4 linked regions of the Arabidopsis thaliana genome follow. The protein of the gene in region 3 interacts with the protein of the main gene of each other region in a pairwise test. Each region holds a gene or a part of one and is shown on either strand. Other genes may lie near its edges. The genes, in order: bZIP52, MYB112, MBD11 and NAC012.

The links.
Region 1: the proteins of MBD11 (region 3) and bZIP52 interact in a two-hybrid assay, tested with the Arabidopsis thaliana proteins (one large-scale study listed by BioGRID).
Region 2: the proteins of MBD11 (region 3) and MYB112 interact in a two-hybrid assay, tested with the Arabidopsis thaliana proteins (one large-scale study listed by BioGRID).
Region 4: the proteins of MBD11 (region 3) and NAC012 interact in a two-hybrid assay, tested with the Arabidopsis thaliana proteins (one large-scale study listed by BioGRID).

The regions. Positions count from the first base shown.
Region 1 is NC_003070.9:2,103,336-2,107,277, reverse strand, and holds bZIP52 (basic leucine-zipper 52), read right to left. Parts: upstream 2,231-3,942; 5' UTR 2,046-2,230; coding exon 1,585-2,045; intron 1,505-1,584; coding exon 1,372-1,504; coding exon of another isoform or gene 1,270-1,371; intron 1,261-1,269; coding exon 1,176-1,260; intron 1,095-1,175; coding exon 760-1,094; 3' UTR 529-759; downstream 1-528.
Region 2 is NC_003070.9:17,703,607-17,708,347, forward strand, and holds MYB112 (myb domain protein 112), read right to left. Parts: upstream 2,855-4,741; 5' UTR 2,772-2,854; coding exon 2,579-2,771; intron 1,741-2,578; coding exon 1,611-1,740; intron 1,072-1,610; coding exon 663-1,071; 3' UTR 526-662; downstream 1-525.
Region 3 is NC_003074.8:5,341,141-5,345,263, reverse strand, and holds MBD11 (methyl-CPG-binding domain 11), read right to left. Parts: upstream 2,553-4,123; 5' UTR 2,492-2,552; intron 2,468-2,491; exon of another isoform or gene 2,081-2,467; 5' UTR 2,056-2,080; coding exon 1,993-2,055; intron 1,580-1,992; coding exon 878-1,579; 3' UTR 564-877; downstream 1-563. Other genes in the region: AT3G15800 (Glycosyl hydrolase superfamily protein), read right to left, coding at 1-213; AT3G15780 (uncharacterized protein), read right to left, coding at 2,913-3,055, 3,620-3,830; AT3G15770 (uncharacterized protein), read right to left, coding at 4,048-4,101. UniProt on the Arabidopsis thaliana protein: Transcriptional regulator that binds DNA independently of its methylation status. Required during plant organogenesis and development.
Region 4 is NC_003070.9:11,864,697-11,868,880, forward strand, and holds NAC012 (NAC domain containing protein 12), read right to left. Parts: upstream 2,459-4,184; 5' UTR 2,255-2,458; coding exon 2,068-2,254; intron 1,973-2,067; coding exon 1,707-1,972; intron 1,271-1,706; coding exon 647-1,270; 3' UTR 533-646; downstream 1-532. UniProt on the Arabidopsis thaliana protein: Transcriptional activator of genes involved in biosynthesis of secondary walls. Together with NST1, required for the secondary cell wall thickening and lignification of sclerenchymatous fibers and secondary xylem vessels (tracheary elements).

The sequences.
Region 1 (3,942 bases), on a different chromosome or scaffold from region 3:
GACCGAGCTTCTCCAAGGACGTCCACAGTCCAGAGAGTAGATGTTTCGTCTGATAACATGGTAACAATGTTCTAAACTCTCCACGTTCTTATTGTTATGCATGTTCTATTGTTCTTGCTAGCTCAGTTTGGAAAGGTTGGAACTTTTGTTGGTTCTCTCCAACAATGGGTCTTTGCTTAAAGGTTGAATCGTGTTAGATGTCTTTCAAAGGTCGAATATTTTCGTTAACAGTCTTACAGAGTCTCAAAAACTAATCTCTCAATGCTTCGTCTCTCATTTCAACTCCGACTCCAAGTTTGGGAAATTTTGTCTCATGGAGAAGTCCGGTTGGGAGAAGTTGTCTCAAAACTCTAATGGGATGACGGATGTGAGGGTGTCTTGGAGAAGAAGCTACTGAGGAACTGCCTTGGTGTTGTCGTATCAAAATCATTGATCCCAAAATCAAACTATTAACCCAATTGGAATGAACTTATTAAACATCTCCATCTCCTAGTAAAATAAAACAAAACGTAGCAAACATCATTGTATACAAAAGAAAAATGAAATTTATTAGTCTCCTTTGTTCCTTGAAGAACAAACAATGGGAATAGCAAACAACGAAACTCACGACACATAACCAACACAAATGTATACGTACGTCCTTTCTTGCACAATGGCACCTCAAAAAAAAGAAAGAATAAATAATCAAAAGTGAATCAAATGAATTGAAAAAAAAAAAAACCTATTAACAGAAAAATGAGCCTCATCATAATCTTGTCGTCAATAGGCAGAGCTACTCTCACTAGCAGAGAGAGAAGGTCCTTCAGATTTGACTAAGCTTGAGCTATTGCTACTAATCTCCAGCCCTTGCATTCGGCCGTTCTGTAGAAAGTCCGACACGCTTTGAGAATTGGACATCTCCATAGGATTGAAACTAGAATGCATCTGCATATCATGGAGGTTCATTGAGCCATGATATGGTGGAATAGCCATGAAAGTTGAGGAAGAATACTGAATCTGCTGCATTCCCATATCAAACGAATCTGAATTACCAGAGATTTCTCCTGTCTCCATCTTCATCCTTTCAACTTCTTTCCTCAACGCTTCGTTTAAAGCTGTAACATCAAAAAGCAAATATTGAAGAAATGCACCAAAATGCATACAAAGAAATTAGCTTCTTTTTTTTTTGTGCTTACCATTACGAAGCTGAGCTTGTTGTTCCATTGCTTGCAACCTAAGTTTCAGCTCTGTGTTTTCGTTTGCTAGTCCATTTGTGTCTCTCTGGATCAATCAAAACAACATTGAAATCAAGATCTGTCTATGTATGTAAAACAGAGGAAAGAACTTTCCTATTCTGTTGGGATCAAACGAGGAATCGCCGAATATGGAAACCTGGTAGAGAGTAAGCTGAGCAGAGAGAGTGGTAGCTTCGGTTTGAAGAGATTGAACTTTGCGCTCAAGTTCTTGAATGTATCGAGCTTTTCTCTCTTTGGATCGAGCTGCAGATTGTCGATTCGCTAGAATCCTGTAATCAAATCCCTAATTTCATTGCAATTCTTCAATTCTGTGGAAAGAGAAACAAATTTGAAGAAGAAGAAGAAGGACCTTTTGGCGCGTTTGGGATCGATGTTCCAAAGCTCAGAGAGTTTTTCAGGAGGCATAGCTTTCTTAGCGTCCATGATATCACCGGCATACATGGCGCATCCAGCGTCAACGGAATTGCTGTGACGGTGGCGAGGACGAGAGGAAGGAGGAGGAGGAGGATTAGCAGCGCCGGAAACGGAGTTGGAGGAGAGGGAAGGATTTTGAAAGGGATTGGGATTAGAGGTGAGGCTATCGACATCGATGAAAGAAGAGAAGAGATCGTCGTCGGAGGGAAGGTCGTCGGAGGAAGGTGGTGCGGCGGAGGAGAGGGGATCCATGAACATGAACATGGACATATCGTCGGAGCGAGATCGGCGGTGGAAGGAAGAAGATGGAATCGGATCGGCATTAGGAATTGGATCGGAGGAGGGGATAATAGTGGCGCCGGGCTTTGGGACTGGTGGAGGATCTGATTTCTCCATTTTTTTAAGAGAATCTGAGAGATGAATGCTTTGGTTGTGTGAATAATTATGATTATTATTCGCAATTGAGAACAATGTCAATGGAGATAATGATGGAGATGAAGAAGACGAAGCTCTTTCTCTCTCTCTCTCTCTCTCTCTCTCTCTATCAAATGAAATGAAATGAAGAGCGTAGGAGAGAAACTCGACTCTGTGAGGAGAGAGAAGTGACGTCACTAACTATAAAATTGCGAAATTGAGTTGATTTATTAATAATTAAAAAGAAAACTAGTTGATGAAAAGTAAAAGGCACATTGGCACGTGAACCATCGCAGCATCTTGTCTCCCTCCCTTTTTTTTTTATTTTTTTTTCCTTTTTCTTTGTATTTTATTTAATTATTCGATTTCATGATTTAAATTTGTTTAACTTTAAATCTTCTTTGTAGCATTCATTACAAGATTCTGTAGTTGCTTCAACGAAATTTATTAATTTAAGCTGTTATGGCATTACATCTCCCCACGTCTGAGTGTATATTTTTGTATCTTTGAGTCAAAATTTTAACAAGTAAAAAATAGGCAGAAAGCCTTGTATGAACTGAGAGTCTGAGAGAATGTTTTGTGGGATAATAAGTTGGTAACTTGGTATGGAACTATCTATGGATTGGGAAACAAGTAAAATTCACTTATAGTGAAAAATACTTATTGGTTGGATCTAAATCATACGGAGGCCTTAATTATCAGGCCCATACAAGAAGACAAGTATTGTTTTGTTTTAAGAAATCCTCGAGCATATAATGCGCCTGTAGTGGACAGGAGGATGTTTTGGGCCTTCTCTTAAATTGGCAATTGGGCATCACTTTGTTTACCGGTCAAAATAATTAAAAAGATGGTCGTATTGATCGCTTTAAGTAATAAGTTTTTTAGTTAAGTCTCTCTAAATTGTCTTAAACGCAAGTAGTGGACCGGCATCATTTAATAGTGATTCAAATTAAAAACCTAATGATGCTTACTTTTACCAGCTAAAGTTTCTTTTGTCTTTTTTTTTTTTGTTTTATTATTATTTATCAACATACTTGTGAATTGTGATTCTCCCTTTTTTTATATATAAATAATGAACATACTTAAGATATAGTTTCTCCCATTTATTGTCACCTAACGGGTATTTTTTAAAACCAAATTCTGTTGGAAAGTTCTTCTCTAAACATAAATAATATATAGCTCATGTCTATGCTTTTTAATAGTGCCCATTGTATTTCTTTTCTTATTTGAGTAATTTATTCCAGCTGTTTCTTTTTTTTCCCTCTCGTAATGATACGACATAGTGACATACATCTTCTGTTTCTTCTTTTTTTGTTCAAGAAAATCATAATGACTACAGGTAATTAATCACACTTCTACAAATCAGTTGATAATCAGCACCATTTTCCAATAAAAGTCGATACTTTGGAAAATTTCGTGACTTTTAGTATCGTGGGGGCCAAAATGCACATAAAGATACGATATCGATGACCAAATTGCCATATACTATATGATTCCAATATACCAATGATTGCTACTATTTGCTAATGGTATACGTTTTTAAATTTTAATTAATACATAAAAAAAAAATCAAGGTGGGATAAAAAGGTAACTTTATTGACAATATTTGGAAATTCATCGCACCTGGCAAGAGATTTACCTACTGTCATTAAAAAAGGATTAAAAAAACGACAAAAAGGTCAAAGACAGGTCAGACAAGGAATCATTAAACAAAGGAAGAAAAATAGCAAGTAGAATGGTTTTGACGGAAGAAGGTGGTGAAGTTATGGCGGCGGCGCAACGGAAACTTATGATGACGCTCTTCCGTCGGTCTCATCCATTACCTGAAATAGTCAAACTTAGAAAATGTCGTATTATCACTCTTCAATGCTCCCACCCA
Region 2 (4,741 bases), on a different chromosome or scaffold from region 3:
TTTATTTTTAAAAAATGATATTTGAGACGACGAAATTTTACTTGCATATTTTTAAGAGTTGATACCATCTTTAAGTGCTCTAAGCAATATGTCTCATTGTCTCGAGCATGCAAGATTTCATGAACACTTCAACTCTGAGTTTAGATGAGAGGGCCAAATCCAAATTAATAATTTATTTAGAGTAAAATAATTATTTGATGTTCACTTCATATACACATCATGCATCAATCTCTATTTCAACCCATTAGTTAAATAAGTATGTAATGAATTTCTTTGGGATATGTTATCAAATACTCATAATGTTTTTAATAATGCGGTGATATTATAAAACTTAATTGATGATCATATATGGTAGATTATAAGTGATCGTATGGGAGTTATTAAATGAACCAGGAACCACATAAACTTTTTGCTAAACTCATGTTGTTGTTTTTCTCTTCTTTGCTCTTATAGTCTTATCTAAATCATGCTTCTGTGTAACAATATATATGTTTTTGATATTATTAATTAAGCAGTTTTTTTTTTGTTTTGTAAAATCATACATCACAATAAAATTAAACCAATAAAAAAATGGAAAAAAACCCGGAAAACCTTTAATTTTGTTTTGAATGATTAGTTTATGTTTATTATACATTACATTCATTAATAAACCCATGAAATGCCTACTGTATGAGCCACTTGTTGAGCTCGTCAAAACTACACAAAGTTTCAAACGTATCTCCGCCGTTGAACCAATAACCACCATTTGTCATATGATCCAACGTTCCAAATTCCACCTGATCACCACCGTAGAAACTCGATCTCACAGCCTCAGACGACGACGTTGATGACGTGGCGGTGGCGACGCTGGAGTTCTCAGGCGAGTAGTGGTTAGAGGTAAATTGGACACTTTGAGTGGCGGCGATTCTCTCGATGAGACGAGGCATCCAGAGATGTTTGATGGTGTCTTTGAATTGCTTGCTGTTCACGTCACATTTTAGAAGTTTTGCATGCTTTTGAACACGTGTTCTCCAATAATTCTTTATCTCGTTATCTGTTCTTCCCGGTAAATGTTGAGCAATCTTTGACCACCTTCACAATAGAAAAAATATCAAAACTAACTCCATTATTAAAAACACGATTAATTTTATAGAACATCGTAATTAAACTCTCATTCCGTTTTTTATTAGAATCATTTATACATACAAAAAATATATTAAATTTCTAATATACTTTTTGTACGTATATTAATTGTTTTTGTTAAAACCGACTCTTGCTAAAAATATTATTTATAATGAATCGGAGGGTTTAATTATTTATAAGTTCTATTGTAGTACTAGATTAATCAGTTTTTTTAGTGTTACTCTGATAAAAAAAGACGTTGATGTGTACCTTAATTTCAACTATGATACAAGTTTCATATAGTAACCACAATTCAACCAAGAAATTTCAAATACGCATCAAATTGATTTTGTCAATTATCTACTAATACAATATTGAATAACGAGTTATTTATTTCATAGAGACGTTCCAAATTTGCTCTCTTCAACGATATGTGTCCCTTTTTCTATTTTAAGTAATGTATCGACAATATGACTATGTCTATGTCGATATAAATAAAGGTTTCATACCGATTTCCCCAACGAGAATGGAGTTCAAGGATGATAAATTGTTCTTGAAGGGATATGTCTCCACGGCGGATATCCGGCCGGAGATAATTTAGCCACCGCAATCTGCAACTTTTCCCCGTTCTATTCAGTCCTGTCTCAATAGTAAATGATTTCAATATAAATACAATTAGTATAAAAACATGAATTAACTGGAATGTACACTAGTCAATAGTATATGGACACTAGTACAATTTCCCAAATCAATAAAGATAACAATTCCATGAGGCTGTATGGAATTGGATGGTTGGGAAAGGTGTTTGAGTTCCACACTCAAAAGGCTAATATGAAAAGAACTCCAAAGGAAAAAATAAATAAATTTGGACCGACCAAACTGTTTCATACGAAAGTACACTTTTAATGATAATAATGAACTATGAATATGTCAACTTGTTCTTTCTTACTTTACCAATTCTACAGAGGAATTTAAATTATGCCGACATGGAGAAGTCACAGCCATAAGAAAAGTATTCTCATAGTTACGAAAAATCACATTCATATATGTATATCACTCACATATGATGTGATAGAAATTGAATAACATATTGATAAGATGTGGACGAGTTTTTATATCTACTCCATTTAATTTCAGTTAGTTATAAATAAACTCTAAACTAAACTTCACATGATCATATTAAAATCCACAAAATCCAAAACGAATTTCTAATAAGAAAAAAAAAAGTTTCAGTCTAAATGTTTAAAAAACAAAAACGGACTACTTGTTTGACATATAAAGAATCCTTCAATACCAAACTTTAACCATTCAAATCAATGATAGTTTAACAATCACTCTAGAGATATGATATGGGCATATAAGGATTTGTTATGATGACTTCAATTGATCTGAATCGATCGATTTACGCATTACATATTATATATCATGCATGATCACATATTCTGTATATATATATGCAAAAGGCTTAAGAAGTTACCAGCAGAACGAGAGAGGGAGTTCCATCTTCCTTCACCGTGAAGAGAAATGTAACTGACGAGCTTCATGTCTTCTTCCACAGTCCATGGACCTCTCCTTATTTCTATTTCCATCTTTTTCTCGACTTCTTCGACTTCTTCTTTATGATTTATAAGGGTTTTACAGTTTGCGAATTCTGTTCTACTTATATTCATGCTTTGAGATTCTTAGAAACTTGTGAGAAGATTGCTCTGAGAAAGATTTTAATTAATGAGGGAGAGAGTTCTCGGAATGGACATAAAGTGATCGAGTTTTCAGGGTGGGTTTTATAGATTTTTTTTTGTTTTGTTTTGTATATATTATAAATAAATACCAAGCATTTGAAATCGGCATGTTAATAGATAAATTATTACCCGAAGATATTAGTGGAATTTTCGCAAAATAATAATTTCTAAGTAATAGTATAAGAGTTCTTAGTTTCTCCTTAAGCACATGCTATAGTTAAGAGTTGGATAAGCTATCAAGTAAGTAAAAGTAACCGAAGAAGTAATTTAAATTAACATCATTTATTTATCGATATAATTTAGTTGATGCAACAAACCCTTTTTTCTGTAGTATATAATTTTGTTTAGTTTTGATTCAGGTTTCCTTTTATTAAACCAAACTAGAATTTAACCCTCAATATAACACGGGACAATTTTGTTTTCACATAATCTTAACTAAATTAGTGTAATTCTACATATTTAATATTAGTGATGTTAATCAAATAATAAAATGAGAATTTCACCGTATTATAATGTCGGTTAATGATACTTTTAATTTTTTTAATGTCGATTTAAACTCATTTTTCATATACCCAGTCTCAAAATATAACATGTACTGCGTTATTTTAGACTTTTATATATATTCATTTTATTTTAAACTTTATACTGAGTTTAAATATATCAATTATAATATTTCAAAACTTTCAAAGCTTAAAATTTACTATATCCAGTAAAATTAAACAGTTCAATTAAAAACAGAATTAAACCATATACAAACTTTTAAATTTAGATACTTGTTAAGTTAAACTTCTTGTTTATTTAGATTTAGATTTATTTATAACATGACTCTTAATCATTTTCTAAACATTTTAGCCCATGTGAAATTGAGACGTTGAACACACTTTTTTATTATTTAAGTAATATATATGTCTAATTCTAAAATTTTGAATCAGAATATAGGTAGAAAATAGTTTATTATTAACTTTATATGATGATTCAAAACAAATAGAAAACAAAATCAAACAAAGATGATTGCGAATCATTATTTTAATTCTTAACACAATCTTTTAATATGTATTACTAATTTTGGAACATTATATGTATATTTCAAATTTTATAGTTAATGTTAAAAACAATCAATTGATTTGGTTATACGGATAATAAAAATTAATAGTAAAGTTATTTGAATACATGAATATAAGTAATGACATTCTCTGTTAATATTTATCAAAATAAAGGTGTTTTTTAAAGTATACTTCAAAAATAATACTCCCCCTATTCTTTATTAATTGATTTTTAGAGAAACAAAATTGTTTCAAAAAGATTGATTTTTTAGGTTTCTATGCACTATTTATTAGTTATTATTGATGAATTTTAAACTTCAAGACAAATAATTGAATATCATTAGTTTAGAATTATTAAAAAATTAAATCACAAAAATTAAATCAATATGTTTACTTAATCTGTGATTGTTTCTAGAAAATCAATAAAAAGGGACAAAAGGAGTAATTTTTAGTCATGATTTCAATTTGATGCAATTTTGGTTTAATTTATTTTGACTTACGGTTTAGATTCGGTTTGGTTTTGATAAAAAAAGTTAGAACATATATAAATACAGATTGATGAAAGAAACTAGTTAAATTTTTTGAAGTTACTAACTTTTTTGGGTTTTCTTTAGTTTCGGAACTCTTGGTTACTTTTTTTTAATGGTTTTAGCTATAAATTTTAGTTTTTTTAATTAGAAATAGAAAAGGATTACAAAACAAAAAAAAGACTCAAGAGAATGTAACAATATAAAAATGCTTTGATAGCATGAAAGCAAGATGCAGCGAACCTCAAAACTCTAAATCGAGTAAAGCTTAACCTAACCCATGTCTCTAACCATAAACTCATTAAAGCCGAATCAGAGTTCTACAAAATGT
Region 3 (4,123 bases):
GTTTCTAATCTTTGCTGATTTAAGGAGAGTTGCTACCGCGTCAGGAGACGGAAGATTATCCGCTATGCGACCGTAGTTTACACCATATGTTCCGATGAATGCTACGGCCGTTTGTGAAGAGAGTATAGAGAAGACTAAGAGAAACGAAAGGAAGAAAGAAGAGAAAACCATATGTGAAGTTGGAGACTTTCGAAGAGGAACACAATAACCCATTTGAGATACTGTCTCGAATGATGTTTTTGAAAACAGAGCAAGTTTTTTTTTTAATCCTAAAATGGGAACAATAAGAGTTTATACTATGAAGTTGTTCCTTAATAGAAAGATTCTAAACCCTCGTCCCTGGGACCATGCAAAAGGATGGAATCAAGGAAATAAGAAAACTAACATTGTAAGTCTTTCTTTGCATTAGATTCTTACTTTACTCTCAAAGCAAAACTTTTACCTTTTTCCTCTTGTCTTCTTCTGCTTTCTTCCATTTTTTTATTTGGGTTTCCCATTTTATGGCGTTCAAATGAAGATTGAACCAATGATAAAAAGAAATCTAGAAGATTAATCTATGTGTGGATCTTTAATCTGACTTGTTCATAACTTGATTGTCCATCCATACGAAAATGACTAAAGATTGTAGCAGAAAGATAAAACATCAAACCTAGTGATTGCAATGGTTTTAGAGAAGAGTCAATAATATATCCTCTACATAACCTTACAACCAAACAGAACTTGCACATATCTCATAATACATATCTCAGCCTAACAACACCTTTCACCGCGATAATGCTCCGAGTAGGAAGCAAAAAGGAAACCATATACTTCAATAGATTGATAGAAACAACTGACTTACAGTTTCATGAGCTAACAGAAGCAGAGCAGAACAGGGCTATCCGGTAGCTTCTCCTTCTGCTGTTTTCTCTTTCCCCTCAGCTTCTGTGGTCAGACCATTTTCTTCATGGTTTCTGGTCTCAGCTTCAGAATTCTTCTTCTCATCACTAGCTTCAACGGTCTTCTTCTCTACATCTACCGAGTTCTTTTCGATTGAGCCAGTATCTTTTTCTTTGTCAGTCTCCTTACTCTTATCATCAACAGAATCCAGAGCTTTCTCCTTCATCGACTCACCCTCTTCTTGAACTGGAGCCGCATTTGGAGTTTCCTCAGCAACAATGTTTTCTTTTGCATCATTCACCCTCTCAGTTTCACCGGAGCCATTCTTATCGGTCACATTTTCATTCTCGGCGATTCCCTCTGGAGGATTCATTTCAGTATCTTTCACATGAGAGTTTTCCTCTCCTCCTCCCTCTGATTTCTCACCTTCTGCATCTTTCTTTGACACTGGAGATTTGGTTCTACCTCGCTTCTTGGGTGGCTCTTTATCTGGTGACGGCGTAGCCTTAGTCTTCTCACTGATTCTTGCAGATCTCCTAGGTGTCCCACTAGTCGTCCAATCAAACTCTGCGATCGCGGGGTTTCCAGGGTGCGATTTGAGATACTGCTCCAGCTGCTTTCTGTTACTAATCTCCTCACCCGTTGGAGCCACAAACACAACCTCTGTTTTCTTCACTGAACCCACTTTGTTGGGGTAAAACTGCAAAAACAAGTCAGTTAATGTAAACCTCTGAAAATATGAAAATTTGAGGTTCAAAACGCTGAAAGATTAAATTCTAAAGAAGACCTTAATGTAGCTTAAACAATGTTTACAAGTGGCTTAAAATCCATAAGAATCGGGAAAAGTAAGAAGTAAATCAAACATAGTCAAAATGAGGCATTAAGTCAAGAACAAAGAAGTAGAAATAGTAGATCAAACACAATCAAATGTGGCTTTTTCTAAGTCTATAACCTTTGAATCACCTAATCAACATAAAGTTATTTACACTTATACTAACATTTCGCCACCAAAAGCTACCATATTCAGAGTCTTCAAAGAAAAAGATTTGGTAATTGCAGCACTACACATATACAACAAATTCTAAGTCTTTGTATGAAACAAAGAAAACAAACCAATTTCTTCCATGAAGAAGGTGCTGGTAGCTCAACAGAAACAACTTCCTCTTCACCACCCATCTCTCTCCTTTCCCTTTAGCAACCCCTGAAAACAAATTAGAAAGATCAACCACAAAATGCCAAGAAAACAAAAACAAAAAATTTAACAATTTACACGAATGAAGCAACAGACAACCTAGGGTTTGATTGTCGGAAAGCAAAACAGAGTTTAAAATTTTAGGGATTTTGCTCTGCTCTTCTTTTTCTCTTTTGCTTAACACTATGGTTTTAGACCTTTTTTTACTACCAGAAACACACAGAGTATATGATAAAGTCACTTGGAGGTAGCACAACAACTTAACTAACAACCCAATTAAGTTTAACCACGTGTCTATATCCAGTGATATAAAATGCGCTCTATCATCTATATTCTATGGTAACAACGACACGTTAAAGCCTTGATCAAAAGGTGTTAAGTCGACTCGGATGTTCGCATTTAATGCAGATTTAGACTTACTTGGTGCTCATGCAATACACGTGCCAAATAGTTAACGACTTTTCTCCATTTTGGGGGAAAAAAACTCTAATGGAGTATTGCTTTGGAGTCCGGTAAAACAGAACGTTACTGTGGTTTAAACTCTTTAAAGCCCATAAATTAGGCCCATTCATGTCTTGAGTCCTATTGCTCAACGACGCCGTTTTTTAAGCATGATCAGATGGAGACTGGGAAAGAATCAGGAATTGAGTACTATATATCACTAGCATTAACCAAGAAGATAACACGATCTTATTGTTTCCTATTATCATCTGAATAAGTGATGTACAAGGAAGATGCTTACTTGGTGAAGTTTATACAGGTAATTTGATCTCTTTGAAGTCTTGATATATATACAGTATAGAGTAGTAGATAATCACCAAAGCCTCTTCATATATGGAAACTACTTGAAACGTGAACCCTTCTTGCCTTTGCCTTTACCCGTCCCATCTGTGACTGTAACCCAGAAGAAGAGAAACATCCAAAAGAACACTGCGAGGAAAATCTTTACGCGGTCTTGAACCCTTGTCACAGCTCCCACAAGACCTTTACAAAGAGAAAAAGAAAACAAGAGTATTCATTTCACTTAGTATCAGTCATGAGTGCAGTTTTTTCTATTTCCAGCCTATCCTTCTATGTTATAAAGGAATCATCACCCAAGCTATTCAACATAACATATGGACTAATTGCAGAACCAATGAACATACAACTACTGCACAATTTTACATCTTAAGAGAAAATTTAGAAAATCCCCACATAAAATGGTAGCCATTTTGAATCATAAGGAGTAAATTCCACAATCCTAATTGCCTAAGCCAAAATCATGTCACAAGATTTGAACTTTGGTTCCATGGACACAACAACTAATTGGATGAAATCATCCTCATGTTTTGGAAGTTTCATGATACAATAACAATCTCAGCACGATTCAATACCAAGTACTAACCTAAAAGACTCCATACTTATATCAAACTATCGGATAAAAATTGAAACTTTCGACCCAAAACACAACAGTTAAAGTGAAAACTGAAAAGCAAGTACAACAAAGACCAACCAAACAAAGTAGGATTCAAAGGACCAAAATATCAATCTGGGCAAGAAGAATCGAACCTTCTAGCTGAGTGGTGTCCTCAGGCGGAGGCGGATCAGGGCCTGGAGGAGAAGGAGGACCACCAGCGACGGCGAGGCGGCGTAAACGGCGGGGACTCGCTAGTAGGACGGTGTTTCGACGGTGAAGGTGATACGGCGGTGAGAACGGCGAGAGAATTGAGTAGTGGTAGAGGTTAGTGCTTGTGGTCGGGTTGGACAAAGCCATCGCCATTTTTCCTCGACGATAAAATTAAGAACTCATTTTTATTTAAGGGGTTTCTGATTCAGACATACACGTGTACGACAATTTAAAAAAAAAACATTTTTGTGGAAATTACTCCAAATCAAGAGAATTTTATAAAATTTGATCCATCAACAAATATTTTTTGTTGGGTGTATATATTTTTCTCAGCTCTCTTTACAATTGTAAATGTGTAAAAAAGAATCTTTTAGCCGTATAGACCTTCTTCTTCCCAAACTTCAACAAGAAACTGCACCATTTCCTGCAATGATAAAACTTTCAAT
Region 4 (4,184 bases), on a different chromosome or scaffold from region 3:
AATGATAATACAATTAAAAAATTTGAGATTTGAAATTTATAGAAAAAATAATATTACTATAAATTAACATATACATCATAGTTCTGTCATTAACTCATTATTAATTTAGAAAGTTTTTTATAAAATACGGATTCACCATGTGCGTTTGAACCAAAGTACAAATTTACCGAATATTAACTCTCACTATGGCCTATGGGCTTTATGATTCGCAAATACAAAAGATTTAAGCGATAAACATATATTCTCGTGGTTGTACAAATATGGCAATCTTCGTATCATAATTTGGATTCAAATTCAATAGTGGGCATGTAAGAAATGTAGAATGAAAGATGAGGGATGTGAAAAGTTCTACCATTTAGCTTTTTTTTTTTTTGGACATCTTTTAGCTTTAATAGTCAAAGATAAAGAACTAAATGTAATGACTTCTAAAATAGCTTAGTAAGCAATTGAAAGAGTCGTTATTCAAGTTTTGTATATAATATCATTCTTTAACTTCGTAAATTTTATGATTATAAATATTATAAAAAAATTACCCTCCACCATTAACAAATGTTAAACCCCAAAATCAAGACGTACTATCAATAGAACATGAGACATTTTTTAACAAACTTTATTTTATATTTTGTGTATGTGTATGTATAGATAATCATACAGATAAATGAAGAAGTGGGTCTAAAGACGAAGAAGACTCAGTGAAACTACTCCAAAGATCAACATTATCATCATTATTCCAATGAAGATCCCATCGCTGCATCATAGTATCACCATTTTCTTCTTCTTCATCAAAACTCTTACGATGACACGGATTATGATGACCATTGTTCAATTGCCAAGCTACGAGCCGGTCAAGACTAGCCCAGTTGCTGCAAACCGGTCTTTCGGTTATCTTCTCTTGAACGGGAGAGAAATCGAGTTTGCTTGGAGTCAGGAAACTTTGGTCGACCGGGCTCTCGGATTTAGGTGTCTCAAGACTTGGGAGTTGCATGAATAAGACATCATCTTGATGTTGAGTCGTTGTTTGGCTCTCGGGCATGCAAATGTTAGAACCGGTACGGTCCATGTAGAGAAGAACATGGTCTAAACCGGTAACGTTTTGAGTGTTGTGAAAGGTGGGCCCCTTCTCTTCCTCCGTGTCATCAGGTAAAGAAGATAGAGTGATTTTAGGACAATCGTCAATCTTTTGATAGTTCTTCTTCCTGAACACTCGACATACCACCCAACCTTCTTCGTTATAGCTCATTGGATCTTCTGTAACAACATCAGCATAGCCCTGATAATGGAACACAAATCGATCTTATGAAATGCAATAAGAGATGATTAAATCTTGATGATGTAAAAATGCAACTTTTATTTTGAAACAAAAAAAAAAATCTTTTATGTTGGTTTTTCTTTTGGATATGCAACCATAACTAGTTAACTACGTATTGTTTGTAGAGCCGTGTTAAACTATTTTAAGCCTTGTGAAAAAATCTTTTTATATAAATGTATATATGATGTGTTAATTTCATAAGAAATTATCTTATTGTAACTCAGAGAATCATGTTCGATTACTTTAATTGCAGATGCTAAAAGAAGGCTCTAGTGCGTACTAAATGAACCAAAACCTTTTATAGCATGAAACGAATCTAGCTAATTCTTTGACTATAAGTTTGTAATTTGTTTATTCTAACCTAAACTGCAAATTGATGATTGCTATATATACTTACATTAGACATTGGAGTATCGTCGAGGCGATACTCATGCATGATCCAGTCGGATTTCTGACCGTGAGGAGCTCTTCCTTTGTAGAACACGAGTGTCTTCCTCAGTCCAATTCTCCGGACACAACTGCAGATGATTTTGTCACGTCCGGTAGCTTTCCAGAATCCAGCGACTGTTGCCCGGTTCGTCCTGGTCCCGGTTGGATACTTCTTGTCCTTGTGGCTGAAGAAGTACCAGTCGTTTTGTGGCGTTGAACCGATTCTACATTCCTCTGCATTTGCATACCAAAATGGTTCAAAAATAAAGAACAAAGAAATAGAGAGTTCGTAGAAATGAAAGAGTTTTTTTTCATATTTAGGGTTTAACCTTGAATATCCCAAGGCTCAAGCTTGTTTAGATCAACTTCACGAATGACATCAAGATCGATCTTTTGAGAGTTAACTTTCTTACGGAGATAGTAATGGAGAAGTTCTTCTTCGGTGGGATGGAATCTGAAACCTGGAGGCACTTTTGATTGTCCATTAATCGAAAGATTGACCTTATTATCAGCCATTAACGAAGATAGCAATATATTTTTGGGTTTTTGCTCTAGAAGAGTAGAGAAGTTGTATGATTACGAGTGGAAATGGTTACAACTTAAAAAAAAGAAAGCAAACGATGAGATAATTTATAATGGTGGTAGGACTCGACGAGACATAGCCCCCAAAAGGGGGAAATTGTTATTTAAACAAAGAAGTTCATGCATTAAAGTGTCTTTATGAAATTAGTATAATTTAGTAAACAGATGTTTCTATGTTTAAATCGAGTTTGATCATACGTAAGTTCTGACGTAAGACATATTTCTTTTGACGTGTAATGTCATGTCATGTGTAATGTATAAAACGGAAAAATACTAACGTAAATAAACGGGTTTAGTGGGGGATTAATCTTTGTGTTTTCTTGCAATTACTTATTGCAGAATTTGAATTCCATGTGTTTTGGTCTTTACTAATGTATGTAAATATAAAGTATAGATTTGTTTAGAAGAAAATAAATGTAAATTATTTTCTAATATAGCTACGTATATTAAAATAATTTTCATTAATATATCACACACTCGTTTCATGATCTACGTCATCTACATTCTACCATGTTAATTAGTTATCTATTTTTTCCCATGTTTTTGGTATGTTCATTCCTTTCGATGTATCCTAAAAATACATCAATTTTTTTTTTCTTTTCATAATCTATCATTTTTATTCTAATATCTGGTGTCACCTAATCAAGATAATGTGTGTAACATTAACGAAAGAACTTTCCATGATTTTTTTTCTTCTTTTTGGACGATTTTCGATGTTTAATTGTACTATATTTTTTGGTGTATTTAAGTGACAAAAACGTGATGAAAGTCAAAGAAATTGAAACAAGCGGAGAAGAGCAGGGGACATGCTTTTTGCACAAGTGTGACACTTCATCTTCATTTCATCATTTAATTCACCTCTGCCTTTAGTGCATGTCCAATTAGTGCATGTATATTTCAATCTAGCTATTCATCTTAAATCGGAAATAGTTATTCAGACCATCTTACATAGTAAGTTTGAGTATTCGATGGTTATGCGAATACCAAAAAAAAACTAAAATGAAGGGTAAGGCTATATAGCCATTAATATTTAACCGTAGATATTGAAATAGCTAAAAAGAATAGAGAGTATGAATGTGGGAGTGACAGACTGACATGTTGGAATATCCACTTCCAGCTAAAAAGGTGATAGTTGGATTATGTACACAAATAACTGAATTAATTAGCAATATTTGTTTATGAAAATATATGTATATATTCAACCATTTAACATACATATATGTGTATATATTTTAGTTATGGACTTAATTATTGGAATTAAGCATACTGATATAATATGATTTACAAATAGAGGCTGGAGCAATGACACTTTAATCGTTTTCTTATTATATAATATAAGTATATAACATGTACATAAAAGTTGTTACCCTACATGCACTGTACTTATCATTTGTCTGTTGATGGGATCTTTGTGTTTCAACATTAATAATGATGTTTTGTTTCTCTAAATTCTATGCTTAATCATGCTTTTGGGTACACAATTGATGGATTAACTAATACCACATAATGATTAACCACATTTGACCTCTCATTCTTTCACTTTTTCCATTTCTTTATTCTAGTTTTAATTGAGTTGAGTGTGAAGTTTCACCTCGTAATTTGTTCCCATACTAATATTTTGATATATCATTTCGTCATTCCCTTTTGTTAAATCATGTGTGTCCCATGCTCACATGTATGTTATTAACTGAAAACTAATTTCGAACAAAAATATCACAAAAATTAATTCACATTTGTCATTAAATCGAAATAAGGAGAAATAAATTAAATATTCAAGAGAATGTTAAGGCTTTTACACTAAAGTTGATATATATTGAAACAAGAATATTTAATTTATCTAACATGTTAACTAAATCATTGAAGG